Linked DNA regions of Macaca fascicularis. The protein of the gene in region 2 purifies or fractionates together with the protein of the main gene of each other region. This does not show direct contact. Links are inferred from orthologs where the notes say so. Each region holds a gene or a part of one and is shown on either strand. Other genes may lie near its edges.

Region 1 (10,835 bases), on a different chromosome or scaffold from region 2:
AATTGGCCAAACTCAGATGCTGTTCACTGCTGAGCAGGAGCCCCCTCCTGCTGAAATGGGTCCTGGGGAGCGCAGCAGCTGGCAGGAAGAAATCTGCCATCTCTCGGGCAGGAGCTCAACCTCTGTGCAGGCACAGGGACGGCTTCCGCACCTGGTGCCCACTCTCGCATTACGTCAGTTATTCCTCATCTCTCTCCAAGGGATTCTTTTCTCCACTGTATAGCTCTGAAGCCAATGCTCACAGAAGTGAAGTCATTTACCCCGGGCCCCCTGCCAGTAAGTGACAGGGCCTGGTCACACTTGGGTTTATTTATTGCCCATTTCAACAGGTCGTTTGACCATAGGCGAGATTCTCTTCCCTGCACCCTGCTGGGTTGCTCTTGGTCCCTTATTTTATGCTCCCGGGTAGAAATGGTGTGAGATTAGGCAGGAAGTGGCTTGCTTCCCTCTCCCTGGCCCTGCAAAGGGTGCTCCCACCTGCCCCAGTTCCAGAAATGTCACCATGAAGTCTTCATTCTTCTGTTTTAAAGCTTGGCCTCAGTGTCCATACACCATGGGGTACTTGACCATCTACTTTCTCCTCTCCAGCCGCCCTCCCAGGCACTAGCTTTTGAGGGTGCAGGGTGCTGCCTCTGATAGAAGGGCCGGGAGAGAGCAGGTTTTGGAGTCCTGATGCTATGAGGAACAGCTTGGGAGGCATAATGAACCCAACACGAAGCTTGAGACCAATGTCAGAGCCCAATTCTGCCATTCATCATCTGAGATTTGAGGGCACAGCTGTCTCAGTCCGTGATCTGAGTGCTGGGAAAGCCAAGACTTGTTCCAGCTTTGTCACCGACTTGCTGTATGGCCTCGACAAGGCCCTGACCCTCTCTGGGCTTCAAACTCTTCACTGTGAAAGGAGGAAACCAGAGGAGGTGATGTGACGCCAGGAAAGATGGATGGGTGTGGGGAATTGTGCTCCTCCCAGCTGTCACCCCCTCTCCACCCTCCCTGCACCAGCCTCGCCACCTCCTTCGAGCCCAGCAGCCTCCTGTCTAGGAGGGTGCCTCTTCTCCATCTGTTTTGCTACATCGAACCCAGATGCCATTCTAACCAAGAATCCTGGCTGGGTGCAGTGACACTCACCTGTAACCCCAGCACTTTGGGAGGCCGAGGCAGGCGGATCAAGAGGTCAGGATTTCAAGACCTGCCTGGCCAACATGGTGAAATCTCGTCTCTACTAAAAATACAAAAATTAGCCAGACGTGGTGGCATGTGCCTGTAATCCCAGCTACTTGGGAAACTGAGGCAGGAGAACTGCTTGAACCCGGGAGGCAGAGGTTTCAGTGAGCCAAGATCACACCACTGCACTCTAGCCTGGGGGATAAAGCGAGACTCTGTCTCAAAAAAAAAAAAAAAATCCTATGTTAGCATACAGAGGTCCCCAGTGAGGTCTTCTCCCAGCCCCACTTTGCACAACTGGGGAGAGTGAGGCCCCAGGACCAGGGGATGCTTACTCAAGGCCAAATGGATAGTGGTGGCCCTGCCAGGACTAAAGCCACAACTTCTGGCCCTAAGGCCACTCAGCGTATTTAGTGTCCCCACCCTGCAGAGGCCCAACTCCCTCCTGACCTCTGAGCCCTGTAATGATGGGGGAATTTCCATAAACCGTGAAGGACTGCACAAAATCCAGCTGGGAAGTGAAAGAGAAACCTAAGGGAGATGGAAATATACAGCACTAATTTTAGCACCGTCTTCAGTTCTAACAACACTAGCTAGTTGAAGAAAAATACAAACATGTATTATGTAGTGTGTGGTCCGTTCCATTTGGATTACTTAGAGGCAAGAGGGCCAGGAGAAAGGTGGTAGAGAGAAACCAGCTTTAGGCTTCATTTTGTTGCTTTACTGGAAAGAAACTTTTAACAGTCCAGGGGTCAATGAATCTCAATATTTGTTATTTCCAACTTTTTTCTCCAGTGTTTCATTTCCCAAATTCAAGGACACCTTTTTCTTTGTATTTTGTTAAGATGATGATTTTACTTTTGTGACTAGTAGTTAACTATGTGGCTGCCAGGCATATTCTCCTCAGCTAGGACCTCAGTTTTCCCATCTGTGTAGACAGCAGGTTCTACTTAGGGGGCTGCAGATTGATGGTCCGAAGTCTGGGCATATCTGGAGTAGAAGGAGCACTGTGGGGCATGGCAGGCTCTGCGTTGCTGTGGATGACACTGACTCTGACCATTGCTCAGCAGAGCCTGCTCTCGCCGGTTCAGCCACAGGCCCCACCACTCCCTATTGTCTCAGCCCCAGCTATGAAACATGTATTCCTCACTGGACTATCACCTGAAGGCTTTGAATTTGCAACACCTGTCAACCCCTCCCTCAAAAGGGTTGCCCTCTCAGATCCTTTTGATGTAAGGTTTGGTGTCTAGACTTATTTCACTAAATTCTTCCAACAGCCTCACTTCATGTATGAGGCAAAATGAGGACCAGGGAGATAAATGACGTGTCCTGGCTCATACACCTGGAAAGTGACAGAGTCAGATTAGATCCCAGGTCTATCTGAAGCTAAAAGAGATGCTTTTTCACTTCCCACCACCCCCATCTCCTTAAAGCAGCACAAAGCCTTGCTTCACAGGAGAGATGAGCTTCTCTAAAGTCCCTGACAGCAAGAGCCCAGAACTGGGACACCATTGGTGATCCAGATGGCAGGTGAGCTGACTGCAGGGACATCAGCCTATTCTTGTGGCTGGGACCACAGAGCATTGTGGGGACAGCCCCCTCTCTTAGGAAAAAACCCTAAGGGCTGAGGATCCTTGTGAGTGTTGGGGGGGAACAGCTCCCAGGGGATTTAATCACAGCCCCACCATGCTCTAGCTGGTGCCATTGTGCAAGATGCATTTCCCTTCTGTGCAGCAGTGTCCCTGGCCACTCAACAGTGGGATTAGATAGAAGCCCTCCAAGGGCTTCTAGCTTGACGTGATTCTTCATTCTGATCTGGCCCGATTCCTGGATAATCGTGGCCAGGCCCATTCCTCTTCTTATGCCTCATTTGCTTCTTTTGTAAAACAGTGGCTGTACCACTTGCATCTTAGGGTCATTGCAGATGTAAGTGGAGCTGTCCAGAGCCTGGGCGCAGGACCTAGATGTAGGATTCTGGTTCTGCTACTTTACTTCCTCAGTGACATTGAATAGGTGACCTAATCTCTCTGGTTTTGGTTTCTTCATCTGAAAAAGAAGGATAGTAGCATCAGCACCTCACAGGATTGTTACAAGAAAGCAATGAGTTAACACATGTGCGCACGTAGAACAGTGCTTGGCATATGGTAAGCACTACATACATTTTGCTATTCTTCTGATTCTTTCAGTGTTACTGATGTCAGCAAGTACTTGGCACAGGCTGGTTTAATAAGCCTTAGGCACTTCCACGTGGTGTCAATCCCGGGTCACTGGGAGTCATCATGTGCCCTGACTCGGGGCCTGGCCCCCGTCTCTGTCTTGCAGGACAATGCCATCTTCTGTCTCATGGGGCGTCCTCCTGCTGGCAGGCCTGTGCTGCCTGCTCCCCGGCTCTCTGGCTGAGGATCCCCAGGGAGATGCTGCCCAGAAGACGGATACATCCCTCCATGATCAGGACCACCCAACCCTCAACAAGATCACCCCCAGCCTGGCTGAGTTCGGCTTCAGCCTATACCGCCAGCTGGCACACCAGTCCAACAGCACCAATATCTTCTTCTCCCCAGTGAGCATCGCTACAGCCTTTGCAATGCTCTCCCTGGGGACCAAGGCTGACACTCACAGTGAAATCCTGGAGGGCCTGAATTTCAACGTCACGGAGATTCCGGAGGCTCAGGTCCATGAAGGCTTCCAGGAACTCCTCCATACCCTCAACAAGCCAGACAGCCAGCTCCAGCTGACCACCGGCAACGGCCTGTTCCTCAACAAGAGCCTGAAGGTAGTGGATAAGTTTTTGGAGGATGTCAAAAAACTGTACCACTCAGAAGCCTTCTCTGTCAACTTTGAGGACACCGAAGAGGCCAAGAAACAGATCAACAATTACGTGGAGAAGGAAACTCAAGGGAAAATTGTGGATTTGGTCAAGGAGCTTGACAGAGACACAGTTTTTGCTCTGGTGAATTACATCTTCTTTAAAGGTAAGGTTGCAAAACCAGCCTGAGCTGTTCCCATAGAAACAACCAAAAATATTCTCAAACCATCATCTCTTGAACTCTCCTTGGCAATGCATTATGGGCTATAGAAATGCATGTCAGTGTGGGCTCTTCAATTTTCTACACACAAACACTAAAATGTTTTCCATCATTGAGTAATTTGAGGGAATAATAGATTAAATTGTCAAAACCACTGACAGCTCTGCAGAACTTTCCAGAGCCTTTAATGTCCTTGTGTGTACTGTATATGTAGAATATATAATGCTTAGAACTATAGAACAAATTGTAATATACTGCATATAGGGATAGTTTCATGGAACGTACTTTAGACGACTCTAGTGTCCCAGAATCAGTATCAGTTTTGCAGTCTGAAAGACCTGGGTTCAAATCCTGCCTCTACCACTATTAGCTTTTGACACCGAACAATGCATTCTACCTCCTTGAGGTGCTAATTTCCCATCTTAGCATGGACAAAATACCATTCTTGCTGTCAGGTTTTTTTTAGGATTAAACAAGTGACAAACACCTTGGGAAAAGTGTGGCATGCAGTAGGTGGTGGGCTCTTCTGTATCTCAGGCTGCCTTCCTGCCCCTGAGGGGTGCTCTTGAGGCAAAGGAGGGCAGTGGAGAGCAGCCAGGCTGCAGTCAGCACAACTGGGGTCCTGGCTCTGCTGTGGCTTAGGGCAGGCCCCGGTCCCTCTCCAGCCCCAGTCTCCTCCTTCTGTCCAATGAGAAAGCTGGGATCGGGGTCCCTGAGGCCCCTGTCCACTCTGCATGCCTCGATGGTGAAGCTCTCTTGGCATGGCAGAGGGGAGGCTGCTCAGGCATCTGCATTTCCCCTGCCAATCCAGGGGATAAAGAAAACCCTCAGGAATAGTAAGCAGAATGTTTGCCCTGAATGAATAACTGAGCTGCCAATTAACAAGAGGCAGGGAGCCTTAGACAGGAGGTAACAAATATGCCTGATGCTCCAACATTTTATTTGTAATATCCAAGACACCCTCAAATAAACATACGATTCCAATAAAATGCACAGTCAGGATGGCATCTCTTAGCCTTACATCTCTGCGATGTAGAAATTCTGCATCTTCCTCTAGTTTTGAATTATCTCCACACAGACCTTTTTGGCAGCCTGGATGGTTGGTTTCAGCACCTTTTGCAGATGATGAAGCTGAGGCTTGAGGGATGTGTGTCGTCAAGGGGGTTCAGGGCTTCTCAGGGAGGGGACTGATGGCTCCTTTATTCTGCCACACTCTTCCAAACCTTCACCCACCCCTACTGATGCCCGCCTTACCCTCTCTGTCCAGGCAAATGGGAGAGACCCTTTGACGTTGAGGCCACCAAGGAAGAGGACTTCCACGTGGACCAGGCGACCACCGTGAAGGTGCCCATGATGAGGCGTTTAGGCATGTTTAACATCTACCACTGTGAGAAGCTGTCCAGCTGGGTGCTGCTGATGAAATACCTGGGCAATGCCACCGCCATCTTCTTCCTGCCTGATGAGGGGAAACTGCAGCACCTGGAAAATGAACTCACCCATGATATCATCACCAAGTTCCTGGAAAATGAAAATAGCAGGTGATTCCCCAACCTGAGGGTGACCAAGAAGCTGCCCACACCTCTTCTGAGGCCCATCAGAACTGACCAGAGGGTCGGAGAGGGTGAACACTACATCCCTGGGTCACTGCTACTCTGCATAAACTTGGCTTCCAGAATGAGGCCACCACTGAGTTCAGGTGGCACCGGCCATGCTCCATGAGCAGGACAGTACCCAGGGGTGAGGAGGTAAAGGTCTCGTCCTTGGGGACTTCCCACTCCAGCGTGGACACTGTCCCTTCCCAATATCCAGTGCCCAGGACAGGGACAGCAGCACCACCACACGTTCTGGCAGAACCAAAAGGGAACAGATGGGCTTCCTGGCAAAGGCAGTAGTGGAGTGTGGAGTTCAAGGGTAGACTGTCCCTGTGGGGATGGGGGAAGAGCCTGTGTGGCTAGGCCCAGAAAAGCAAGGTTCAAAATTGGAATAGCCAGGGCATGTTAGCAAAAGGCTTGAGTTTCTCTGTCACTTTATCGGTGCTGTTAGATTGGGTGCCCTGTAGTAAATGATACTCCAATATGAGTCACACATTAGTGTGTCTGTGTGCATTCGTAATTATGCCCATGCCCTCCTATCTAGTTTATTTTGTACACTGTAAAACCAAGATGAAAATACAAAAGGTGTTGGGTTCATAATAGGAATTGAGGCTGGAATTTCTTTGTTTCACGCCAGCACCTCCTGAGGTCCCTGCTCCAGGGGCTGAGAAAGAACAAGGAGGCTGAGAGGGTAACTGATCAGAGAGCCCAAAGCCAGGCTGCCCGCTCACACCAGACCCTGCTCGGGGCGGCTCTGTCTCCCCATGGAAAACAAGAGGGGAGCACTCAGCCTGGTGTGGTCAGTCTTCTGGTGGCACTGCCACCAGCCCATGTTCCTCTGGGTATAGGGCCCTGGGGATGTTTCAGGCTGGGGGCCCAGTGACCAAACACTACAGGGCAGGATGAGACATGCTTCCAGTACACCTAGAATCTCAGAGGAGGTGGCATTTCAAGCTTTCATGATTCATTTGATGTTAACATTCTTTGACTCAGTGTAGAAGAGCTAATAGTAGAACAAACCAAAGCCAAGTTCCCATGTTAGAGTGGGTGGAGGACACAGGAGTAAGTGGCAGAAATAATCAGAAAAGAAAACACTTGCACTGCGGTGGGTCCCAGAAGAACAAGAGGAATGCTGTGCCATGCCCTGAATTTCTTTTCTGCACGGCAGGTCTGCCAACTTACATTTACCCAGACTGGCCATTACTGGAACCTATGATCTGAAGACAGTCCTGGGCCACCTGGGTATCACTAAGGTCTTCAGCAATGGGGCTGACCTCTCGGGGATCACGGAGGAGGCACCCCTGAAGCTCTCCAAGGTGAGATCACCCTGATGACCCTGTTGCACCCCGGGATCTGTAGGGAAGGATGTATGGGGGCTGCAGTTCTGTCCTGAGGCTGAGGAAGGGGCCAAGGGAAACAAATGAAGACCGAGGCTGAGCTCCTGAGGATGCCCGTGATTCACTGACGCGGGACGTGGTCAGACGGCAAAGCCAGGCAGGGGCCTGCTGTGCTGCTGGCACTTTCAGGGCCTCCCTTGAGGTTGTGTCACCGACCCCGAATTTCATCTTTGCCCAGGACCTTCTAGACGTTGGGCCTTGATTTATCCATATTGACACAGAAAGGTTTGGGCTAAGTTGTTTCAAAGGACTTTGTGACTCCTTCGATCTGTGAGATTTGGTGTCTGAATGAATGAATGATGTCAGCTAAAGATGACTCTTCCTTTGGAAAACTAAAGGTGACCAAAGAACAACTGCAGTTCCGTGAACGGCTGCGTTGTCTTGGGATCTGGGCACTGTGAAGGTCACTGTCAGGGTCCATGTCCTCGAGGAGCTTCAAGCTGTGTGCTAGAAAGGAGAGAGCCCTGGAGACAGGCGTGGAGTGGCGATGCTCTTTCCCCTTCTGAGTTGTGGGTGCACCCTGAGCAGGGGCATAGGCGCTTGTCAGGAAGATAGACAGAGGGGAGCCAGCCCTGTCAGCCAAAGCCTTGAGGAGGAGCAAGGTCTGTGTGACAGGGAGGGAGAGGATGTGCAGGGCCAGGGCTGTGCAGCGGGAGAAAGGCCTGAGTGAACGCTTCCTGGGAGGTGTCCACGTGAGCCTTGCTCCAGGCCTGGGCTGGGGCACAACTCAGCCTTAGAACATGTCTCTGCTTCTCTCCCTTCCAGGCCGTGCATAAGGCTGTGCTGACCATCGATGAGAAAGGGACTGAAGCTGCTGGGGCCATGTTTTTAGAGGCCATACCCATGTCTATTCCCCCCGAGGTCAAGTTCAACAAACCCTTTGTCTTCTTAATGATTGAACAAAATACCAAGTCTCCCCTCTTCATGGGAAAAGTGGTGAATCCCACCCAGAAATAACTGCCTGTCACTCCTCAGCCCCTCCCCTCCATCCCTGGCCCCCTCCCTGAATGACATTAAAGAAGGGTTGAGCTGGTCCCTGCCTGCGTGTGTGACTGCAAACCCCTCCCATGTTGTCTCTGGGTCTTCCTTTGCCTGCTGAGGCCGTGTGTGGGCTCCAGGTCACAGTGCTGTCTCCGGACCCCCTCAACTGTGTTCATGGAGCATCTGGCTGGGCAGGCATATGCTGGGCCAGGATGGAGGGGGCTGAATCCTCAGCTTACGGACCTGGGCCCATCTGTTTCTGGAGAGCTCCAGTCTTCCTTGTCCTGTCTTGGAGTCCCTAATAAGGAATCACAGGGGAGGAATCAGATACCAGCCCATGACCCCAGGCTCCTCCAAGCATCTTCATGTCCCCCTGCTCATCCCCCACTCCCCGCCACCCAGAGTTCCTCATCCTGCCAGGGCTGCCTGTGCCCACCCCAAGGCTGCCCTCCTGGGAGCCCGAGAACTGCCTGACCATGCCCTAGCCCTGTTTTGTGGCATCTGCAACAACAAAAGAGAGAGGACCGTGTCCTCTTCTTGTCCCACTGTCACCTAACCAGGCTTGGGCCCGGCGCCTCTTGGGCACTTCTGGAAAACAACTGAAGCAGATTCCTCCTGAAGCCCATTCTCCATGGGGCGACAAGGACACCTATTCTGCCCTTGTCCTTCCATCGCTGCCCCATAAAGCCTCACATGTCTCAGTTTAGAATCAGGTCCCTTCTCCTCAGATGAAGAGGAGGGTCTCTGCTTCTTTTTCTCTATCTCCTCCTCAGACTCAACCAGGCCCAGCAGTCCCCACAAGACCATTACCCTATATCCCTTCTCCTCCCTAGTCATGTGGCCATAGGCCTGCTGATGGCTCACGAAGGCCATCGCAAGGATTCCCCAGCTATGGGAGAGGAAGCACAGCACCCACTGACCCCTGCAACCCCTCTCTTTCTCCCCTGAGTCCTGACTGGGGCCACATGCAGCCTGACTTCTTTGTGCCTGTTGCTGTCCCTGCAGTCTTCAGAGGGCAGCCGCAGCTCCAGTGCCATGGAAGGAGGCTGTTCCGGAATAGCCCTTGTGGTAAGGGCCAGGAGAGTCCTTCCATCCTCCAAGGCTCTGCTAAAGGGCACAGCAGCCAGGAGGTCCCCTGAGCCCCCAGCTGAAGGACAGGCTGCTCCCTCTGTCTCTACCAGGAATTGCCTTGTCCTGTGGAAGGCACTGACCCATCCCAAACTAATCTTGGAATCCCTGTCTAATCACTCACTGTCATGAATGTGTGCTTAAAGGATGAGGTTGAGTCAAACCAAATAGTGATTTTTGTAGTTCAAAATGGTGAAATTAGCAATTCAACATGATTCAGCCTAATCAATGGATACCAACTGTTTCCCACACAAGTCTCCTGTTCTCTTAAGCTTACTCAGTGACAGCCTTTCACTCTCCACAAATACATTAAAGATATGACCGTCACCAAGCCTCCTAGGATGACACCAGACCTGAGAGTCTGAAGACCGGTATCCCCCTGTCAGCTGTGTGACCTTCATGAAGTCGCCAAACCTTTCTGAGCCACAGCCGTGGCCAGTAAGACCTGCCTTTGAGCTGGTACGATGTTCAAGTCAGATAATAAAACACCGTTTACACCTATTAGAGCAGAGAATAAATAGAGCTACATTTCTTGCATTTATGAGCTTTCTGTGAATCAGACATCCCTGTGAAGAACCTCCCTGGCTATTTCTCATTTAAGAACTGTAGCAGCACTGTGATGTGTGAGTAGATCCGCTGTGCTCTTAAACTCCAAATCTACATATGAGGAAACTGAGGCTCAGAGAGGCTGCTGGTCTCCCACAATGTCACATAGTTCATAAGTGGCAAAGCTGGCTTGATGGGCTACTCGTTCCTCTGAACCACACCACCTCACCACACTCTCCCCTTCGAGGGTCATGCTAAACTTCTGCAGAGCTAATTCCTCCTTAAACCATAAGGGTTGCTGGTGGCCCACAGCTCACGCCTAGCATGCTTCATGAGAAAAACACCCTCCACCCAATGTGGAGCAGGCCCTGAGCTGAAGGTGGTGAGCAGAAGCTCATCCACCAGATGTTGACACAGCCCGCGGCCTTGGGCGACCCACAGGACTCCTCTTATTTAACTGGCATTTGGTAGGAGAACAGGGGCAGAGTCAAAGACAAGTGGGCTTTCCGGAGCAGCCAGGACAGGGAAGGAGGCTGCAGTGCTGAGGGCATCACCTTAGACACCATCGTTTTACTTTGAAGAATCGTCTGTCACACACGAGTTGACAGTCCGGTTGGGAGAGACTCCATTCAAACCAGCATAAGCTCCCAGAGGAATTCCTGGGCTCCTGTGGGAATCAACAGGGATCAGTCAGGGGTGGGCAGAGTGTCATGACAACCTCATTAGGAGGAAGACAAATACATGTCACAAGTCCATGAGGCAACAGCCATAAGACCTCAGCTTCACTGTATCTTCCAGAGTTTTTTAAAAAATGCATTCACTGTCTAATGTGATCCTCCAGACAGGTCCTGCAGGACTCAGCCTAGGAATCATTATCCCCAAAGTACACATGGGGAAACTGAGGCCCAGCAGGTCAAATGCTCTGTCCAGTGTGGGCCTGGAAGGCAGGACTTCTCTGCTCTTAGGCCTGGCTGTCCCCAACTGCACACACTTCCTCAGTC
Region 2 (10,216 bases):
GTTAAGCAAAAAGAAGAAACTGAAATTGTCCACACTTGGGTATAGCAGTGGCTATCATTGTTAACTTTTCAGTGTGTATTCTTCAGTCTTTACTGTCTGTACTTTCTAAAAAACGCTGAGCCAGTCAAGGCCATAGTGCACTATGACTGAGCCTGTGAATAGCCACTGCTCTTCTTGGGCCAGGCCTTTAACATAGCCACTGCATTCCAGCCTGGACAACATAACACATTCCTGTAATCCCAGCACTTTGAGAGGCGAAGGCAGATGGATCACTTGAGCTCAGGAGTTTGAGACCAGCCTGGGCAACGTGGCAAAACCCCATCTCTACAAAAGCTGCAAATGGTGGCACATGCTTGTAATCCCAGCTACTTGAGAGGTTGAGGTGGAAGGATTGCTCGAGCCCAGAGGGGTTGAGGCTGCAGTGAGCCAAGATCGCACCACTGCACTTTGGGCTGAGGGACAGAGTGGCACCCTGTCTCAAAAAACAATTTTTGTAACCTTGTAAACTTAATATGTCAGAATTGTTTTTTCCATCCTAAAGTGTTATAAAATTATAACAGGTGATATTCCATGGTGTGGATATGGCATAATTTTACTAATCCCTTATTGATGGACATTGACATTAGTGCTCGGTTTTCTCGTCTATAATTGGAGTGGTGAATATCCTTGTAGCTAAATCTCTGCACACATCCATGATTATTTTCAAAAGATAATTCCTAGAAGTGGAATTGCTATTTTGTTGCCAAACGCCTTCCAGAATGGATGTTCAAGTTTACATTTCAACTAGCATTTATAACTGTTCATTTCTGCACATCCTCATCAAACAAGGGAGACATTTTATTTACCCTTTCCTAGTTGAATAGTTATAGGATGATGTCTCATTGTTTATGATTTTTAAAAAATGTTTTGAAACAATTTCAGTCCTCCAGGAAATTACATATGCAGTATAGGGTCTCACTCCATTGTCCAGACTGGAGTGCAGTGGTATGATAATAGCACACTGTTAACTCAAACCCCTGGGCTCAAGTGATCTTCCCGCCTCAGCCTCCTGAGTAGCTGGGACTACAGGTGCACACCACCAACCTCTGCTTATTTTCTTTCTTAAATATTTTTTTTTGTGGAGACGAGGTCTCTCTATGTTGCCCAGACTAGTCTCAAACTCCAGTCCTCAGGTGATCCTCCTGTCTCTTGGCCTACCAAAGCACTGAGATTACAGGTGTGAGCCACTACAGCCCACTTTTTATTTTGTTTTATTTTTTGCAATTGTTTTCTGGCACAACAAGATATACCAGGCTCATCCTGTGCTCTCCTTGATCCAGTCCTAGAATCAGCTGTTTCTTCAAGGAGCCCTGGTTCCTTTAAAGTGGAGAATGGTATTTAGAAGCCAAGATCTGGGTGCTAGATGTGCTCATTGCTATTGGAGTGTTGCTATTCCCAGATCCTCTCAGTGAACAGAGCAGTGGAATTGTATGTATGTATGATAATGTATACAAATGTATATTTTTAGATCTATGTATTTTTAAAAACATGGGTTTATACTATACTCCCATTTCTAGTACTACCTCATGGTTCGTTCTAGCTTTTTTCCTATTTGTTTCCTCCAGTATTTTATTATGAAAATTTCCAAACTTATAGGAAATCAGAAAAAAATTGGAGTGAGCTTCATGTAGCCACCACATAGATTCTGTAATTAATAGTTCCCTATTCTTTTTGCACACCTATCCCTACATCTAGCTTTCCAATCCAAAATGTATGTGCCATTATATGTATACTTAATTCCTTGTATACTTGAGTATGCATATCAGTAACTAGAGTTCAGTATTTATGTGCAACAAAATAAATCTTGAGTATGTCAACTGAGTTTCTATAAATGCACACTTCTGTGTATCTATCAAGACAGAAAATTACCATCAATCAGAACGTTCCCTGATATCCTTCCTTGTCAGTCATTGCACCTGTCCCCCAAGAAGCAATTGCTATTCTGATTTTGTTCCTCTATAGATTAGTTTTTCATGTTGTGCAGCTTCATGAGTAGAATCGTACAGTATGCATGTACTCTTTGGTAAAAGGCTTCTCTCATTCAACATAATGTTTTTGAGACTCATCTGTGTTCTTGTATTTATTGGTAATTTGTTCCTTTTTATTGCTGAGTATTATTTGGTTGTGTGAATGTACCACTGCTTTCCATCTGCCCTTTCCATCTGTCCTAACCTGATTCTTATTATGATTAATGTTTTACCTACCTAATTACCCCTCATATGTAACCAGTCTTTTGTGATAGTCTCCACCTCCCCCATATGGATGCCTTGCTCGTCTCACTCACCCTCAGATTCCCCAGACCAGGCTGCCCTCTTACGGGGATGCCTCCCCACCCTACTCAGGCTAACATCTCGTCGGGCCACCTCCATGTGTGCATGGTCTGATGGGGCTCTTGACTCCCTATACCAGGCTGTGCCCCCACCCCCATCCTGCTAATGTTTGGGCAGTAGAAGGGGTCTCAGTTTTGTTTTTGTTGTCATTGCTAAGGATTCTCACTCTGTTGCCCAGGCTTGAGTTCAGAGGCTCAGTCTCGGCTCACTGCAACCTTCGCCTCCCAGGTTCAAGTGATTCTCCTGCATCAGCCTCCTGAGTAGCTGGGATTACAGGCATGCACTACGACACCTGGCTAATTTTGTATTTTTAGTAGAGATGGGGTTTCGCCATGTTGGTCAGGCTGGTCTTGAACTCCTGACCTCAGGTGATCGGCCTCCCAAAGTGCTGGGATTACAGGCATGAGCCACCACGCCTGGCCGGGATCTCAGTTTCTAATGTACTTTCCTTTGATTATTGTGAGAGCAAACATTCTCACGTTTATTGACCACATGGATTTCCTTTTTGAATTGTCTATTCAGCCCTTTGCCCATTTTTTTCTGTTGGTTTGTTTTTATTGTTAATTCATAAGAATTTTAAAAACTCATTTTGAAGTATAGTTTTTCTGACTCCAGTATAAATTAGAAGTTTTCAAATACATTTCTAATTTTATCAACTGTGGGGGATTACAAGTAGAAATATAAGTGCAAATTGAGGATGCTGCTTTAATGGTTCCTTCTTTAGTGAGGTTTTGAATTACTACATCCTAGTACTTAGAGAGTCTTTTGGACATTTACTATCCCCTCCTATGTTCTGCAGTAATTTTTCTTGGGATACCTTGTGAATTTTTCAAAACTTTTGTAGTAAAATAATACCTAACATAAAATTCACCATCTTAACTCATTTTAAATGTTCAGTGGCATTAAGTATATTCATACTATTTTGCTGCCATCACCACCATCCATAGAACTCTCTTCATCCTGCAGAACTGCAACTCTGTACTCATTAAACAACTCGCCACCCCAGCCACCACCATTCTGTTTTGTTTCTCTGAATTTGACTACTCTATGTACCTCATAAGTGGAATCATACAATATTTGTCCTTTTTTGTCTGGCTTATTTCATATTTCATTTAGTGTAAAGTCCTCAAGGTTCATCCATGTTGTACCATGTGTCTGAATTTCCTTCCTTTTTTTTTTTGAGACAGTCTTGCTCTGTTGCCAGGCTGGAGTGCAATGGAGCAATCTCAGCTCACTGTAACCTGTTCCTCCCAGGTTCAAGCGATTCTCCTGCCTCACCGTGCCAGGCTAATTTTTGTATTTTTGGTGGAGACAGGGTTTTACCATGTTGACCAGGTACAGTAGCTCATGCCTGTAATCCCAGCATTTTGGGACGCCGAGGTGGGCAGATCACCTGAGTTCAGGAGTTCGAGACCAGTCTGGCCAACACGATGAAACCTCGTCCCTCCTAAAAATACAAAAATTAGTTGGGCATGGTGGCGGGTGTCTGTAATCCCAGCTACTCGGGAGATTGAGGCAGGAGAATTGCTTGAACCCAGGAGGTAGAGGTTGCAGTGAGCCGAGATCGCACCACGGCACTCCAGCCTGGGCAACAGAGCGAGACCCCATCTCAAAAAAAAAAAAAAATTCTGTAATATGTATGTACCATATTTTGTTCATTCACCTGTTGATGGACACTTGGGTGATACCTTGGTTATGGGGAGACATTAATGATAAATATGTGAAAGTCAGCTTACAAAAGTAGTGTGATCTAACTTTTGTAAAATTACATAATGTAAAAGTTCCCAAAGAATAACTGAAACATTGACAATAGTTACCTCTGGGAATTTAGGATATTTTGCTAATCTCTTGTTTTCTCCTTCTCTATAATTATTATGATTTGAGTTGCTTTTCTAGTAAAAATCAGTGAAAGATAAAAGCTAATGTAAATGTTAATAATTATAGATGCTCTTACAATATGTTGACTGTTTAATTGGCAGGCGGGTGTAGTGCTTACCTATGGGTGGAAACCCTGTGGGACCTGAACTGACCTTGTAGTACTTTGGACCTGAGATGACTCTGGGACCAAATTATATCTGTTGCCTGTCTTTTAGGAAAGCTATTTTTGATACACCAGATGAGGATCCAAATTACAATCCACTACCTGAAGAACGGCCAGGAGGCTTCGCCTGGGGTGAGGGCCAGCGCCTTGGAGGTTAAAGCAGCAGTGCCAATAATGAGACCCAGCTGGGAAGGACTCAGTGATACCCACTGGGATTCTTTTATCCTTTGTTGCAAAAGTGTGGACACTTTTGACAGCTTGGCAGATTTTAACTCCAGAAGCACTTTATGAAATGGTACACTGACTAATCCAGAAGACATTTCCAACAGTTTGCCAGTGGTTCCTCACTATGCTGGTACTGAAAGTGTAATTTCTCGGAGCCAAAAAACTGGAGAAACAAATATCCTGCCACCTCCAACAAGTACATGAGTACTTGATTTTTATGGTATAAGGCAGGGCCTTTTCTTCCTCTTGATAGATGAGGCCATGGTGTAAATGGAAGTTTCAGAGAGGACACAATAAAACTGAATTCCATTTTTCTCTCACTGTATTAAAGCTTTTGTGTGTGATCTTTTAAATTCTGATAATGTATTGTAGCTCTCCTGCGTAGATCTGAGCTCAGAACAGTTTACACAGCTGTTCTTCTGTGTCTTCACAACTTTTAACTGGATTTCATTTCAGGATTGGAAATACGTGGCTGTCATGCTGTGGTTGTGTACATCTTACTAATTCAGAATGCAAGATTCACCAGGAAGATGATTTATTTCTGTCATCTGGATAGGTTGTTTCCATCTGGGTTTTGCAAAACTGTCAGACAACGTGGAAAAAAAGGAGGGAGGATGCTTCTTGTAGCAGTAGGAATTCAGCTATAGGAAAGTCAGCTGTAAGCTAATGTGGCATCTTATTTGCTTTGCTTACATTTCTCCATTAAGAAGTATCCAGGGAAAGATTGCTAAGGGCCACATTTTTGGAAAACTAGGAAGATTTTCATTAGACTTTTTTTTTTTCTTTTCTTTTTAAAAAAGTTTTAATTAAAAAAAATTTTTTTTTTAATAGAGATGGGGTCTCACTGTGTTGCCCAGGCTGGTCTTGAACTCCTGGACTCAAGAAATCCTCCCACCTCAGCCTCCCAAAGTGCTAGGATTACAGGCATGAGCCACCCAGCCTTTTAAAAAAATTTTTTTTGCCTTTTTTTTTTTTTTAATTAAAAAAAAATAGAGACAGGGTCTCAGATTTTCATTCGATTTAGAAAACAAGTTAGAATGTTGACTTTGGAGCCAGATGAACCGATACCAGTTAGCCAGGCACATGTTCTTCCAGGGTCTTTGGCTAGGTAACATTAGTGATTTGCTTCATGAAAATTCAAGAACCTTTTCAGAACCAAGTACCTAGATTACCTTCCCAATCAGGTAGAACTTAAGACAGGGTCCGCAGAAGTAGACACTTAATGCTGTGGTTCAATAAATACCTCCCCTAAGTATTAAGTCTTCCCTGAGTCTCAGCAGGTTTGCATTCACACTGCTTAAGTAACTCACAGAACCTGGAAGAGCACCGCTAGGAAAGAGATGATTCCAAACAGCTTTCATTAACAGTGTGTATGCACCAGTCCCTTTCCCAAAAGTGGACTGTTAGTAGTAGTTCAACCTTTGTTAAGGGGTAGCTTTCCAGAATGTGAGATTGTCCTCAGAAAGACAGATATAGGCTTAAACATAACGGACATCCTAAATAGGAATTTTCAGATTGTTTTTGAAGTGAAAAGTGTTTTAATGTCTTTAAATGGAATTGCGTAACTAATGGAATTTAAGTATTTTACATGTTGCTAGTAACTTTGAATATGATTGTTGCAATTTTATGGAACCTGGGTCTATGGGACTGCTTTTTCTTTAAGCAGTTTAAAAAAGGTTTTTAAAGTTTAAAAGCCAGTCTTAGCATGTATAATCCTTACGGGATTCTTAAGTTTTATCCTCTTGTTTTTGCTCAAGAATGCTTTATCAGTGACGTTTGTTTTGTTTTTTGTTTTTTTAAATTGTTTTTGGGCTAGAAATGAGTTTCTCTAGTTTTATTTGTTCTCCCTGAGTTGAGTTATGCAATGAATGGCATTTTTGTGGTAAAATGCTGATCCTAAAATCTATTCACTCACTGTTCATTTAAGTAGGGAATATCTGTATACGTTAATGACTGGGTAAAACAGGAAGTACGTTTTGAATATACAGCCTAAAGGCAGGCAGTTACAGGGTTTTTTGGTTTCTCTGATTTTATAGGGTGCAAGTTCCCAGTGGTAGGATGCCCTGCTGTGCGACTACACTGTGTCCTGAGCAGTGTCACCTCTCATCAGTTTGGCCAGCCCTACAACCACCATGCCTAGCCCTGTGTTGCTTGAGAGGATACCTGTGCTGGAATGGACATAAGGAAAAGTCCTTACTTTCCCCCCAATTTACCTCTCTCAATCTTAGTTCTTCCAGAACACACTTCCCTTTCCCAATGCAAATAAACTAAAAGTGAGATTTGATACATAGAATTTTGTGACCAACTAACCTTACACATAATTTGAGGGATTCCTGGATTCTTCCAGTAATACTGAAAAGCACACTTGACTAAAGCATAGTGTTTTTTGTTTGTTTGTTATGGAAACATGGTATACGTTCATTTAAAAATAAATGGACATACAAATTGCATCTCCTTAGGAGATACATTTTATATACATTTCGGTGCATTTTTTCTAGTATGGATTTCTATTTGTTTCTCTCTTCCATTTGTTTTTTTCTGTGTCACTCTTGTATGTCCTCTTATCTTTCATACCTCTTGTGTAGTCTCTAGAAGCAGAACACCCAAGTCCTGGGTCTGGATAATGAAACCCTCTGTCTCTGGGGCCTCTGAAAATAAGGAAGCATTGGAGCTATTGCCATGTTGAGTAATGGGCTTCCTAGAACTATTGTCATCTATCCTGCCAGGGTTTTATGTTGTAGCTGTTTTTCTTTGACAGGTGAGTTCCAGCTATGTTGTTAGTCATGATCCTGCCATTATTTTCTGTGTTCTGTAGGATGTCTCCAGACTACTTAAACATATTTTATGAGTTTGCAATAAAATTGTTGAATCTTGTATGATCAAGTCACTCCTCTGCTCAGAAATCCACAGTGACTTCTTAGTAAGCCCCTATATTATATGCATACTTGTTTTTTTCTTAACTTTACTTCCACTTCTACCTAACAGGGACCTCAACTTAAGTCTCTTCAGTTCTTCCAGGCCTGGCCTTGTTCCTGATTGCTCAAAAAATCTTGACTCTAAGGCCAATTTTATTGTCTGTCTCTGAATCCCTATAAAGCTTCAAGTCTGTATGACATATTCTTACGCCAAATTACATATTGTCTTGTACTGTTCCTAGCTGGTACATGTATATTAGTCTTGTCTCCCTCATGAGAATGTAAGCTCCTTAAGGGCAGGGACCATGTCTTAATTTTTGTATCCACCACAGTGCCTAGCACAGTGCTTGGCACATGGGTGCTGAATAAATACCTTTGTTTATTGATCAGCAAAGTATTATCTGGTATTTTTAATTATACAGGGATTAAAGTGTATGCATGCAAGCTTGAGCCTAGTTGCTGAAGCTTGTGGTTGTCTCTGAAAATGGGATAGAGGGAAACTGAACATGATCAAGGGCCGTGATTTGGTGGTCAGAAAAGCAAAGGTGACCACCAGCTGGTATGGTCATGATCAGACCAGCTAAGTCCACAGACCATCCCAAAGAAGTTAAAAATGAAATGTATCTGACACTTCATCTTTTGGAGGAAGAACCAGGATATTCTTTGAATAGTTATTAGGTTGTCAGTATCTACATATGAAAGCTGCTAAACCCCAAGAGACTTCTTTAGGAGAAACAGCAGATTTCAGTCTACCAATGGGAGAAATGTGGGCAACATGGCTTGATGCATATATAGGACTTAATTTTTCAACTCTTTGGTCCTCTTAGCTTTGAGGCTACAAAATAGCTGGATCATTAGGCCAGAGATTATGGATGAGTTACCTGCAGATTGGTTACCTACCTGTGTGCTTTTTTTTTTTTTTTTTTTTTTTTTTTAGTTTAAGCCTGTATTTAACATTGACAGATAAAAATCTTCACTTTTGGCTTTTCTTGAGAAAACTGGAAGTTCTGGCAATAATAGGTCTACATGACAGCCCTTGCCTAGAAATGATTAGTGGCTGCATCTAGAGGTGGCATGCGCTTCATCAAGAAATGAGTCCACCCATTTATATTACCTAAATTATTATCATCATTAGGAACATTGGACTCCTACATTAAGTTACTCTGGAAAGCACACTGGGAAAAAGGACTGGGATGTCTTTACTTACTCAAGGTCCATAATTTGAGAGTTAACATTTATTATCCCTTGTAGTTTTGGCTTGCCTTTCTAAATATTTCAGGGTAGGAAGTGAAAATTTATCAGTTTATTCTTAAACACAAATCTGCTGCTGGTTCAACGTGCACATTTTCAGTAATGCCTGGTCACCAAACTGTCAGCAACTAGAGGAAAATTATCTCCGACCTGGAGGAAAGGGGAAGTTTTTGTTTTTAGACGCTCTCTCACGAATCATGGGAAGGGAGATTTTTTAACAGGTTCACATACAGGGCGAGTTTCATGGAAACGCGCTTCAGAAGATGCCCTTCACATGAGCTGAAGCCTACGGTGTACTCTGGAAATCACATTTCCTGTAAGAGCAAACAGCTACTTGGCATTCTCCTGGTAAATTAGCAAATTGTCCAAGAATTTTTAGGAGGGGAAGGAAGAACTAGTTATAATCCTACTTTTTTTGCTGCAGTTCTGAATCTTCATTGAAGTGTCTATGATGGGGTTGCACAGCCATGTAGAGAACGTGAGAGTCTGGCTGGAATGGTTGGGAGAAAGGAAAGATAAAAGACAATTTTAGTTTCATTGAACTCCCTCCGTCCTCTGCTTGTATTACTGGAGGCGACCACATCCTCTGGCATAGTCATTTTCTGAGTTAAATTCATGTATATCATAGAATTGGTTTTCCTTTCTGTAACACAAGATGATCACAAATCTATGACTTGGGGACATCTGAATAACTAATCTCAGATGACTCAATTTCTTTATCTGTAAATTAGAAATAATCTAATAACCAGTATCTACCACAAAACTTACAAGTTTAGAGGATTAGACAATGCACATTTGTGCTTCTCATTGATTTTACAGAATTAAGTACTTTTCTTGAAGAGTGACTGTGATTTGGACAGAGAAAGAGAAAACGCGTGTTTACTGAAAAGAAGTAACGCTACTAAAACAAAACAATGAGAAAACCCTCGTTAACCAAGACTACAGTCCCACGGAACCGTACACCCTGTGTTTCGCGGTTGTAGCTCCGGGCCTTTTCTTGGTTGTACCTCAGGCCCTGCTTTTCCCACCCCCAGGAAGTGAAAGCCTTCCCAAGCCCCCAATGCATGCTGGGAGTTGCAGTCCCTTTTCGAAAGGCTGGGGCGGCCGTGATGTCATCGGTGGTCGCCGGGAGCCGCCAGCACGTGGCGAGGAAGGGGCGGTGCGCGCCTGCTGTCTGCACCTGAGAGGGGGCAGGAGCTGCCGGCGCTTGCGCCTCCTGCTGCGGTGCCTTCCCGACATGCCGGAGGAGGCGGGCTACCCGCCGGCCAAGAGATTCCGGCCGGGCTCTGGGCCTCCGAGCCGCTCTGGGTCCTTCCCTCCTGGGAGGCAAGTGGTGATGCTGCTGACTGCGGGCAGCGGCGGCAGAGGTGGAGGAGGAGGCCGGAGGCAGCAGCCGCCCCTGGCCCAGCCCTCGG
Region 3 (11,389 bases), on a different chromosome or scaffold from region 2:
CACAGGTGACTGCTATTCTGGGTTTCCCCTTGTCCCTACCAAACCCCTGACACTCTAGCTGGAACAAGTTCTGGCCCATTATTTTAACACCTGGTTAAGGCTTTGGCTTGTTTTTCATTGCAAGAACAAGTTGTCTGCAGCATGACAATTTTCTTCTGCTGACAAATGAATTGTGTAGGCTCACCTGAAATTCTGGGCCAGGTATGTCCTGCTCAGAAGCTATTTTAAGTAAAACTATTTAAGGCAAGTTCAAGATCATTTAAGGCTCTTAGATCTTTTAGGGCCCTGGCAGCCAGCCTGCCTTTTTACGTTCAGACTCAGAAGCAACAAATTAGCTCAATACCCCAGGCAAAGCAAAAACCCAAGGGAAAGTATGGCATCCAAGAACCACCCTTAAGATAAACGTCATTTCCAAGAGCAGCAGATGCTGAGCTGTTGTGATTTGGTATGTGGAGAATACCTTGCTGCCATCCTCTTCACACAAGCAACTTGTCTTTTCTCAGTGTCACAATGTCAAAGGTGACAATGCACACAGGTTGGAGTGAGGGTGACTGGAAGGAGCAAGAAGCAGGGGAGAATGGAAGGGTTCCTGGGCTCCGTGTCCAGCTGTGTCCAAACGGCCATGTGACCTGCAGCCAGGCATTCTGTTTCTCTGTCACCATTTCCTTGACAAGTGGATTGGCCCAATCTGGACATCTAAAGTAGGGACTTCTTAATCTGTGCTCGCAGGCACCTGTGCCTCCAAGGGTGTACTTCAGATGGTCCAGGAGCACCATGGGGTATGTGTCCAATGCGCATTTCCCTTTTTTCTCTCTTTAATGTTTTATGTGTATCTGTGTATATGTGTATGTATATAGGTATATATGTCAACATACATGTGTTTATATATTATGTGTGTGTATATATACACACTTGTATACATTACCATATGTAATATACCCCAATACAAAGAAAAAAAAGTACAACATATCTAGGCACAATTTTGTATATAATCCATGTATACATACACACACCCACACACATAAGCGTGTGTTGTAAAGTAGTACACTGCAGATAAAGTTTGAACTTCCTCTCCCCTCCTTCCCTTCTTGGAGGCCATTGCTAACTAGAATTTGATGCAGATCCTTACATCCCACACTTTTATACTTTTACTACATCTATAAGCATCCACAATACAGTACAGATGTGTGGTTTTTGTTTGTTTGAGACAGAGTTTCACTCTACTCTTGCCGCCCAGGCTGGAGTGCAGTGGTGTCATCTCAGCTCACTGCAACCTCCACCTCCCAGGTTCAAGTTATTCTCCTGCCTCAGCCTCCTGAGTAGCTGGGATTGCAGGTGTGCACCACCACGTCCAGCTAATTTTCATATTTTTTTAGTAGAGACAGGGTTTCACCATGTTGGCCAGGCTGGTCTCAAACTCCTGACCTCAGATGATCCACCTGCCTCAACCTCCCAAAGTGCTGGGATTACAGGCGTGAGCCACCGTGCCTGGCCTGTTTTGTGTGTTTCTTAACGTTTACATGAATATGATCACATTGGACATCTACAATTTGCCTTTTTTCTCTCTCAACATTATTTGAGAGATGTATCTGTGTAGATATAGATCTGCTTTATTCATTTCTAACCACTGTAGAGTCTTGTGTGGTGTGACTATTTTGATTTAGTTCTCTATTCTACTTTAAGGAAGGTAGGTTTTCCCTTCATTTAAAAAATGCCTGCATGGACATTCTTATACAAGTCTCCTTGTGCACATGTGCGAGGGTTCTTCCAGGATATGTCTAGATGTGGACTTGCCGGTGCAGTTCAGCCTCACTGTGTATTGCCAAATTGCTCTCCAAACTATACCAATCTCCACCAGCAGCATCTGAAAGTTCCCATTGTTCTATATCCTTGCCAGCACGTGATGCTAACACTCTTCCATGTCGGGCAACGTGACAGGTGTGAAATGGTATCTCATCATTGCCTAAATTGCAGTGCTCCAATAACCCCTAGCGAGCTTGAGGGAAGCTGGGCATCATTTCTTATATTTATTGGTCATTTGGATTTCTCTTCGTTGACTTCTCTATTCATAAACTTCCCCATTTTTCTACCTGGCATGTATCTTTTTTTCTGAGTGATTTATAGTTTTCAAAATAATCTGTGTACTAATCTGTTTGTTACATATTGTAAATACTTTCCCAGTCTATTACTTGCTTTTTAACTCTGTTATGATGCCTTTGTTAACATAGAATTTTTATCTCAATGTATCAATCTCTTCATTTTAAAATTTGTTTATTTTCATGACTTGTTGAGGAACTCCTTTCCCAATGTGACAAAGGTATTCCACTGTATTTCTTTCTAAAAGTTTTATATACATATAAAAATTACTGACAGAGAAACAGTAATCCCATCTGGAATGTACTGTTGTGTAATGTGAGGATCCAATTGTTTTTCCACGGGGAGAGCCTGTTCTCCCAGCACCATTTAGTAAATAGCCCATCCTTCCCCATCCATTTATAACTCTTCAGCTCACACGCACAAGTTCCCACACATGCTTGGGTTTGAGGGGACTCTATTGATGGACTGCGTCCATGTTCAGCTGTTGTCGTTACCACAACTCCCCTCCTCCTCTTCTTTCCCAGAGTTGTCTGAGGTATTCTTGGACCTTACTCTTCCATATGAACTTTATAATTCATTTGCGTGATTTCATATTCCACATTAAAACTTGTCATGGCTTAAACTAGATTACATTGAATTTGCAGATTAAATTGGGGCAACTATGAGAGCAAGTTCTCCCATACACGAACACAACACATCTGTCCCTTTATTTAAAACTTTTTTTTTTTTTTTTTTTTTTTTGAGATGGAGTTTCACTCTTATTGCTGAGGCTGGAGTGCAACGGCGCGGTCTCGGCTCACCACAACCTCTGCCTCCCGAGTTCAAGCGATTCTCTTGCCTCAGTCTTCCAAGTAGCTGGGATTACCAGCATGTGTCACCACGCCTGGCTAATTTCTGTATTTTTAGTACAGACAGGGTTTCTCCATATTGGTCAGGCTGGTCTCAAACTCCCGACCTCAGGTGATCCGCCTGTCTCAGCCTCCCAAAGTGCTGGGATTACAGGTGTGAGTCACCACACCCGGCCTAAACTTTCTTTTCTCAGTCCTTCTTCTAAATATTTTATGTTTCTCTATAAAAGTCTCACCTTTTTAAAAGACCTATTTCAAAGTATCTTACAGCTTTTATGCAAGAATGAAGAATGGTTCTTTTATCTTCTCAGATGTGCTGCCATGCAGGTAGCTGTTGCTGATCAACTCCCTTATTAGCTCCAGTGGTTAATCTCTAGGTTCTTTTGGATTATCCATGTAGTTATGTCATCTGCCGATAATGACACTGGACACTTCCACATTTTTATTCCCTTTGAAATACTGTGGTGTTACCTGGAATGATGAGTACAGGGACAAAGAGAGGCTATCTTGTCTTGTCCCTGGGGATGCATATTTTACAACGGAGAGGATCCACAGCCCTTATCAGATGTTGAAAGGGAGCCAAGACTCAAGAAAGGTGAATAACCACCAGTCTAAATTACCTCTGGACCAAGTAAAATAAACTGAAACCAGTTATTAGTTGTATGGAAGAAAGTAAAACAAGCAAGCAAGAACTTTGAGCACAGCAACTATCTGGGAGAAAACCAGGGCTGTGATTCAGGCAAGTACAGAACATAACACTAATTGCCCATTAAGGGCTTGGAGAAAGAGTTTCACAAAGGAGATCTCAGACCAGAGAATACAGCAGAAGAAAATTGAGCAGGGGATGGAACTGTCAGAGGTGACATATGCATACCATGTGAACACAAACAGCTTCCTTCGCTTACTTCACCCCCATTTACTCATCTGTAAGTCAAAGCTAATAATATCTACATCTTATTTATGAGTCACAAATTCTCCTGGCTGAAAAAAAGGCAAATAAGGTTTTCAAAGAGTTCTTATTGAGTGGGTAGAGGCTCAAATGCTCCGGGCCTTTTCCACATTAGCAGTGCACTTAGAGAGGGGAAAGAAAAGCTTGTTTTGGAATAAAGAGTAATATGCCCTCCGTGAGTAATCACACACAAGCCTCTGAGACAGCTCCTATCCCCAACCAGCTAATCCCTGTGTTAGTGAATGTCACCACAGTGCCACTGCCAGCACCATGCCTGAGTGACCAGGCTGCGTGGCATTCATCCTGGCTGCACTGGACAGAGCTGGGGAGACCCCAATTGACTCCCCAGAATATCCTGGGTAGGGAGTGTGCATCGGAGGGAATCTTCTCTCCCATGAGCAAAATCAGGAGAGCAGGCTGCACATAAAAACTCAGCAAGTCTGACAGAGGTTGTCTCGAAGGGCCGGCATGGCCAAGGGTTAGGCATTTCTATTCCCACAGACAGATATTTCCGGGGAGAGTTACCTGTGCCTCTCTGCCTCTCTCTTGCAGTGTGAGCTCACAGCTCAACTTCAGCTCCATTCTGCTCATTTAATTTTAGGATCCCAAAACCCAGGCACTTTGTAATTTATCATGTAGCTTAAGTCACTTTTAGCTGCAGGCAAACTGCTGGGCCACCTGGGCACAGCAGCAAAGTGTGGCAGGAGCCAGGGGCACAAAGCAAACATGAGGAACGCCTTCTTCAGCCTGGACAATCAGCCAGGGAGAGTCAGGAACTACAGAGACGAACGCAGTCAGTGCTACTCGAAGGCAAAATCTGAAATCACAGGATGTTTGGAGGGATTTCAGTGGTTAAAAAAAAAAAAAAATATATATATATATATATATGGATATACATGTGTGTATATGTATGTGCATGTATATGTGTATACATATAACATTTTATATATACATATACACACACACACATATTTTTAAAAGGTCTCCAAAGATGTGCTAGCATTCTTTCAGATAAACTCGAACGTGCCTTGCGAAGATTCTATCATTCAAATGGTAGAATCTACCCCTCCAGCAGGCCACACACCTAACAGCACATCAACGTGGGGCTTGGGATCCAGAAGAAATGTCATTTCTATCAGGGACGCCACCACACCTTGCTGGCTTCTGCCACGGATAATGATGAAACTAAATTTAACACTGCCTGGCACTGAGGTTTAGAGTTATGAGTCGGCGCTTCCCTGTCACTTCACTTAATCCTCTGAGTGTGTAGTTTGTAGATTTGTTAACTGCACTGAGAGGTCCCCTGGTGCGACCCCAAACTGATGGCCTCTCCAGGAGCCATAAATCTGGATCAACCCCAACTCACCACCCCTCAGCCCGGTAGCTGGTTGAGACAGGAAAAAGGCACCCGCCGGGCGGTCCTTTGAGGGTAATGCCGCCTTTGTGCCCAGGGTGTGGCCTGCTTACTAACTGACAGAAGAGGTGACAGCCAAGCCCGTGGGGTGCGGGGCTGAGAGGGCTCCTCGCTGGCCCCGTGGGGGCCGGTAAGGGTCAGGCCCCGGTCCAGGCTCTGTGGCAATGCAACATTAGATCTTTCCGACAACCGAACAGTGTAGACATTGCCACTAACTGCAAAGGAGCATGTCAGGGAAGTGACTCGCCAAAGGTCACACCGCTCTGCCATCGGAACTGCCGCAGGAGCCCACAAACAAAGCGCCCTCCCTCCTTTCCTGGAGAGGTTTTAAACCCAGGACCCCCAGCCCTACGCTGTCCCAAAGCCTCTCCGACGGCGGCCGGGCTCCAGGGTGCAGGCACCCTGGTCATCTACCTCCGGAGCGGCGGACACCGAGGCAGCGCGAGTCCCCCAGACGCCGGGCCACGCTCATGTCACCCAAGCAGCGGCCGGCCGCCTTGGCGCGCACACAGGGTCCAGAGCCCGCGCTGCCCGTCGGGGGCAGAGGGGCCGCTCCTCCGCGGGGGAGAGCTGGGTGGGCGCTCAGGACCCAGCGGCGGACGGCGCGCGACGCCCGAGACAGCCCAGCCTTCCCCGGAGCCCGGCAGGTGTCCGCGCCGCCCCAGCTTCTGAGGCCACACTTCCGAGCGCAGGGTTGGGAGGCACTGCCCGGGTACTTGCGGTCGGCGCGCCGGATCTGCGTGGGCGCCCACGAGGGACCCCGAGTCCCCCCAGCCGAGTGTCCCGCGCACGCCCTCCCGGGTGACCCCCCCCCGGCAGGGCGCCCCGGCCGCCTGCAGTCCCCAAGCGGTCCCGGAGCCTTCCCACGCGCGGCCCGGCGCCGGGGCCGGGCGGACAGGACTGCGGAGGCTGCCCCCTCGCGCGCGCCAGAGGCCGCCGGGAAAGTTTTCGGCGCGCGGGGCCGGCCGCACTCACCTGGCCCAAGTTGAGGTAGCCGTGCGCCGCGGCCACGCGGTCCGCTTCGGCCGGGCCGCCCAGCACTTGCACTGCCCAGTGGTTGGTGTAGACGGGGCGCGGCGGGGGCGCGGAGCAGGCGGCAGGCAGCGCCAGCAGCAGCAGCCAGCGCCAGGGACGCGGCGCGAGCGGCCGGAGCCAGGGCCCGCCGGCACCCCCCGCGTTCCCTGCGCCGGCGGTGGCGGCGGCGGCCCGGGGCGGCGGCCGGGGCCCGGGCGCAGGCAGCGCGCGCGGAGGCATAGCGGCGGCAGGCTCGCGCGGCGCCCGAGCTGCGAGTGCGCCGGGGGGTGGAGTGCCGCCTTTTAAAGCCGCTCCGCGCCGGGGAAGCGCCGCCGCCGCCACCGCCGCGGGCGGGAGCCAGGGAGGAGGAGGCGGCCGCGGCGCGTTCCCGCCCGCGCGGCCCGGCGGCGCCCCCGGGCCCGCGCTCCTGCGGCCGGGCTCCGGGGCCGAGACCGGTCCGGGAGGCCCGAAACGCCCCCCACCGGGGGAACTTCTCCGCCGACTTTTGGGGCTCTCGGGACGCAGGACCGGCCCAGCGGCGGCCTCGGCCCCGCGAGTTCTGCTGGGAGCGGGGAGGCCCTGGCGTCTCAGGTGAGTCCCCTGTTCCCTAGACCGGCCGGACACCCGGAGGCTGCACTCACCTGGCGGGGCCTCAGACGCCCGGCGGCCTCGCCCGCCTCCCTAGACAGAGGGCTTGCCAGTGTGCAGGGTCCCAGGGAGAAGAAGCTGCCGGGAAGACACTGGATCGCCCAGGACCCAGCATGGCTGAAGGGGCATGTTGAACAGGGCAAAGGCATGTGGCGAATTAGCCGGGCTCACGAGCATGTACCCGAGAAACCACCGCACAGAGCCCATCTGGGCAAATGACTGTCCTGGCTGAGGGCAGGTGCCCCACCTGTAAAATGGGGGGAACAGTGGTATCTACCCCATCGGCCTGATTTGAGGATGAGGTCCGCTTTTGCTGTACAATAAGCTGTCCATAAACGTTCGTTTTTATGAGCCCAGGGCCTGCCTTGTGGTAGGTGTTCACTAGATGATGTACACTCTTAGAAGCACCCACTGAGCTGGGACCAGCAGTGGGAAAGTGAGTTGAATCATCCTCACCCCTGTTGCCTAGAGCAGCCTGGTATCCAGTGGATAATGATTTGAAGTACCCTGGAGATGTATGGAAATGTTCCATGACCAAGGAATTATGAAGGGTAAGGATCGCTGCTAGATCCCTTCTGTCATCCCTCCCAGGACCCATTGGTCCCACTGGCCCACTTGCAGAAAGCAAGCCATCAGCCTGCTTAATACAGGAAGTAAAACAAAAAGGTCGAGAAGGCCTTGAGGTGGGAAGGAAGCTGCTTCTCTGATGCTCAGTTCCAGGAGCAGTCTCCTGTTGAGCGTGCAGGATTCACTTGGAGTCTGTGGCTTGGCAGCCTGAGTTGAGAGGCTGGGGCAAGAGGGGATGGGCAGAGGACAGGATCTGCATAGATGGTTTCCGAGGTCCTTTCCAGCCTCGCTCTCAGGAGCCCTTTGGTTTCGTAACCCACATGATTCATCCTTTCTGCAGGTGTGAGTCACCCCTAATGGAGGTGGGAGAACAGGAGGCGTGGTGGGAGGCCCCATCCCAACAAGTCACATGCATGTTCACAAGGGCTCCTGCCAAGGGCCCATCTTGGAACCTGGAGATCAATGTCCCACACGGCCTTCCCTTTGCTGCTCTAGATGCAGCTTCACCTCCCTGTGTTCCCCTGGCAAGTGGGGTCCGCTGCTTGGGCAGTCACTCTAGGTCTGTCCACGCTGCAGAAGACAGCCACTGTGTGTCCCTCCTACAGATGGACTGGATGCTCACCAGCCCCTGCCAATGGAGAGACACGAGGCCCTCATGCAAACTGGCAGCCCTAGAGGAGAACCCACCATACCTGTTGGACAGAAACAGTACCCAGAACCCTCAGTCTGCCTCTGCCTGACATGGCCCTGGCTGCCTAGCCAACTGGCCTGTAGAAGAGGGATATTGGCCTGAGTCAAGGGGACAGAGTTGGAGGCATTGCATGGTCACCTAGCAGCAGTATGTCTGGGCAACATGTGTTACCTCTCTTCCCCTTCTCCTGCCGGCCAGATATCCCTCAGATTCATCCTGGATCCGGTACTGTTCTTCTTCGAGTATATGGCCTGCTTCAAGATAATGTACACTGCACATCAGCTAAATAATTATAAAGCAGCTAGTGTCTCCCAAGACGGAGCCCCCGCAATGTCAGTGATTTTGACAGGCAGAGGTAAGGGTGTTTCCATAATAATGTGGTAAATTAAGGGATTCAGCCTGATGTACTGAGGGAGACTAAAATGCATCTGAATTTTTATTTGGAGAGATCTGAATTTATTTTATTAACAAGTCTGGTCCTTTTGGGCTGAACTTTCCATTTGTCATGGAAGTGCCCTAGCAATATCTTGACTCCAATGTTGTAGGAAGACCACCTTCCCAAAATGAACATCCTAAATCAAATCGCCTCCTGTGGGTTTCCTATTGATTTACACGGTGACAGGATTAGCTCAATCACAGGAGTACCAGCCCTTTTCATTGTGATAGGATCTGTAATAAAACTTGGCTAGTCGTCCTGCAGGGAGGGGATTTATTACTCAGTCAGACTCTGGCTCTCCAGATGACCCCCGAGATCTACATAGCTCTGTGGGGAGGGAACGGGATGCTGCTTCCCTAGATTGAGGTCTTTGAGCCTCAGGAGGGACAGGACATGGACCCGAAAGGTGATTGGAGCCTGGTCATATTTCGGAAGTTTTGTGATATTTATACTAACATCTTCTAAAATCAGAAAAGAGGAGAAGACATTGAATGATGTGTTCTCATGCCCACCAGTGATCCCTTTACAGCAAGTACAGGGTTATCCAGCCAGAGCCCAGGAATACCCATACAGCCAAGACCACTGGACAGCAAGAGCCTTTGCGCAGCCTTCTAGGGTGGGATAAGACAGACTTTGATGCAGAAATTACCTCTGTGTAGGGAATAGACGCTTTGCTGAAAAATTGCATTTTTGGCAATAATGCTAGGTTCAGCAGGCCAAAGTAGCATCCTTTGAAAAATGTCTGATGGATACCACCTTCAGGATACCAGAGATGAGCATGGACTCAAAGCCCAGCTTTGTCATTTACTCATGTGCAGCCTCAGTAAAGTTGCTTCAGTTTGCCCTACTGAAAATACTAGTAACACTGCTGTCCCCATGCAGAGGTGCTGTGAGGACGACAAGAGCTGATGTGTGCAGAGCCTGGCACCCGGAGCCTGGCACCAAGTCAGCACTCCATAAATAGTGGCAACAGTGACCACTGCTAACCAGGAGCTCTCCAGTGGGATAGAGTAGTTAGGGCTGAATACTCTGACCTTCTCTGGATGAGGGCTCACTGTCCTCATCTATGCCTGGGTGCACATTTTCTCGCATTTTAACATCCCCAAATCAAGAAACATCTCACAATTAGTGTTTTGCAATCACTACTGGCCTGGGCTGAAATTGAGTTCTTTCAGAGAGGGTTTGTGTTTGCTTCTGCCAGTGATCTGGGGACACAACTCCTGAAACTCCTTGGGGATCTGCTGAATGGTGTGACCCCAGAATGAGAACCAGCTTATGGTTCTAATGATCAGTGCAGGGCATCTCTCCCTATTTCTCTCTCCCCTCGCCAGGGCCAAAATAGAAACCTGTTGATTCCTTGCTGTTCCTCTCCATGGCGGGTTTATTTCTCATTTTCTTCTGTACTGACAGTGGAGTCTTTCTTTTCTTGCCTGCCTGCCTGCCTGCCTGCCTGCCTGCCTTCCTTCCTTCCTTCCTTCCTTCCTTCCTTCCTTCCTTCCTTCCTTCCTTCCTTCCTTCCTTCCGTCCCTCCCTCCCTTCCTCCTTCCCTCCTTCCTTCGAAGCTTCCTTTTTTTCTGAGACAGAGTTTCACTTTTGTCACCCAGGCTAGAATGCAATGGTGCGATCTCGGCTCACTGCAACCTCCGGCTTCTGGGTTCAAGTGATTCTCCTGTCTCAGCCTCCCAAGTAGCTGGGATTACAGGTGCACACCGCCATGCCTGGCTAATTTTTGTAATTTTAGTAGAGATGAGGTTTCACCATGTTGGCCAGGCTGGTCTCGAACCCCTGACCTCAGGTGATCCACCTGCTTTGGCCTCCCAAAGTGCTGAGATTACAGGCGTGAGCCGCCACGCCCAGCCGACAGTGGAGCCTTTCATTGCTCCATCTTTAGGGAGGCATCTCCTGTGAGACTTTCCATCTTGGACATTTTTCTTTTCTTAGTAATACGTTAAATAACGACACATTTTCCAATTGAAGGTATCTCTTAGATTTGATGACATATGATACTAATGCCTTCAAGACATATTGCAGTAAAGAAGCTTGTTGAATTCTTCCAAATATATTTGCTATGTCCGTGTATGTGTGAGTGTGGCATCTATTGATATACTACAGAAAAGGTACAGAGAGTACAGCATTTTTCATGAAAATCTGTTTTGAATCCTCAACGAGGTAAAAGCTTTTTCAAAGTAATTGCCTGGCTCATTTGAATTTTCAAATACCACATTTCTATCGGGAGAACCCTCAGATACTTTGGGCCAGACAGCACTCAGAGGCGAGATACCAATGGGATTTACAGTCATTCCCTAGACCTGACAGTGCTGCTTGAGCCCAGATAAACACCCACGGTCCCCAGGAACAGAAGGTGTGATGCAGGTCACACACAGCCAATGGGCCTGAGACATGGAGAGCCCAGGGCAGACTAGACCTCTGCCTCCCACCAGCCCCCTTCCGCCATCCCCGAGAAACCTTTACCCTTGCCCAGGTTTCTACAAACCAGGGGTTTCCCCAGCCAGGTCCTCTTCTCTCCCTTTCACACTTTTCTTTGCCCTCCTTTTTACTCACTCCACATCCCACTCACAGCTGCTGCCCCTAGCAGTGGTGGGTCAGGGGCTTTTGCTCCCCTGCAGCTCCACGCTCTGCGTCCTTCTGGGCTCTGCCTTCTGCTCGGTGTTCACAGTTTCTCAGTGGTCTCTTCAGTATCTGCTCATTCATGTGACCATCTGGG

Evidence for each region.
Region 1: the proteins of DERL2 (region 2) and SERPINA1 purify together in Homo sapiens (affinity purification with western blotting; 3 studies listed by BioGRID). This does not show direct contact. The link is inferred for Macaca fascicularis from reciprocal best matches to the Homo sapiens genes DERL2 and SERPINA1.
Region 3: the proteins of DERL2 (region 2) and SELENOS purify together in Homo sapiens (affinity purification with western blotting; 3 studies listed by BioGRID and IntAct, with this or other methods). This does not show direct contact. The link is inferred for Macaca fascicularis from reciprocal best matches to the Homo sapiens genes DERL2 and SELENOS.

Annotation. Positions count from the first base shown.
Region 1 is NC_088381.1:162,404,722-162,415,556, reverse strand, and holds the end of SERPINA1 (alpha-1-antitrypsin), read left to right. Parts: intron 1-3,486; coding exon 3,487-4,136; intron 4,137-5,457; coding exon 5,458-5,728; intron 5,729-6,950; coding exon 6,951-7,098; intron 7,099-7,944; coding exon 7,945-8,136; 3' UTR 8,137-8,212; downstream 8,213-10,835.
Region 2 is NC_088390.1:5,536,638-5,546,853, reverse strand, and holds the end of DERL2 (derlin-2), read left to right. Parts: intron 1-1,319; exon of another isoform or gene 1,320-1,471; intron 1,472-4,462; coding exon 4,463-4,568; 3' UTR 4,569-7,944; downstream 7,945-10,216. Other genes in the region: ATP-dependent RNA helicase DHX33, read left to right, coding at 10,039-10,216.
Region 3 is NC_088381.1:86,539,024-86,550,412, forward strand, and holds the start of SELENOS (selenoprotein S), read right to left. Parts: upstream 6,803-11,389; 5' UTR 6,660-6,802; intron 6,600-6,659; exon of another isoform or gene 6,563-6,599; coding exon of another isoform or gene 6,284-6,562; intron 1-6,283. Other genes in the region: PCSK6 (proprotein convertase subtilisin/kexin type 6), read right to left, coding at 6,284-6,562. UniProt on the Homo sapiens protein: Involved in the degradation process of misfolded endoplasmic reticulum (ER) luminal proteins. Participates in the transfer of misfolded proteins from the ER to the cytosol, where they are destroyed by the proteasome in a ubiquitin-dependent manner.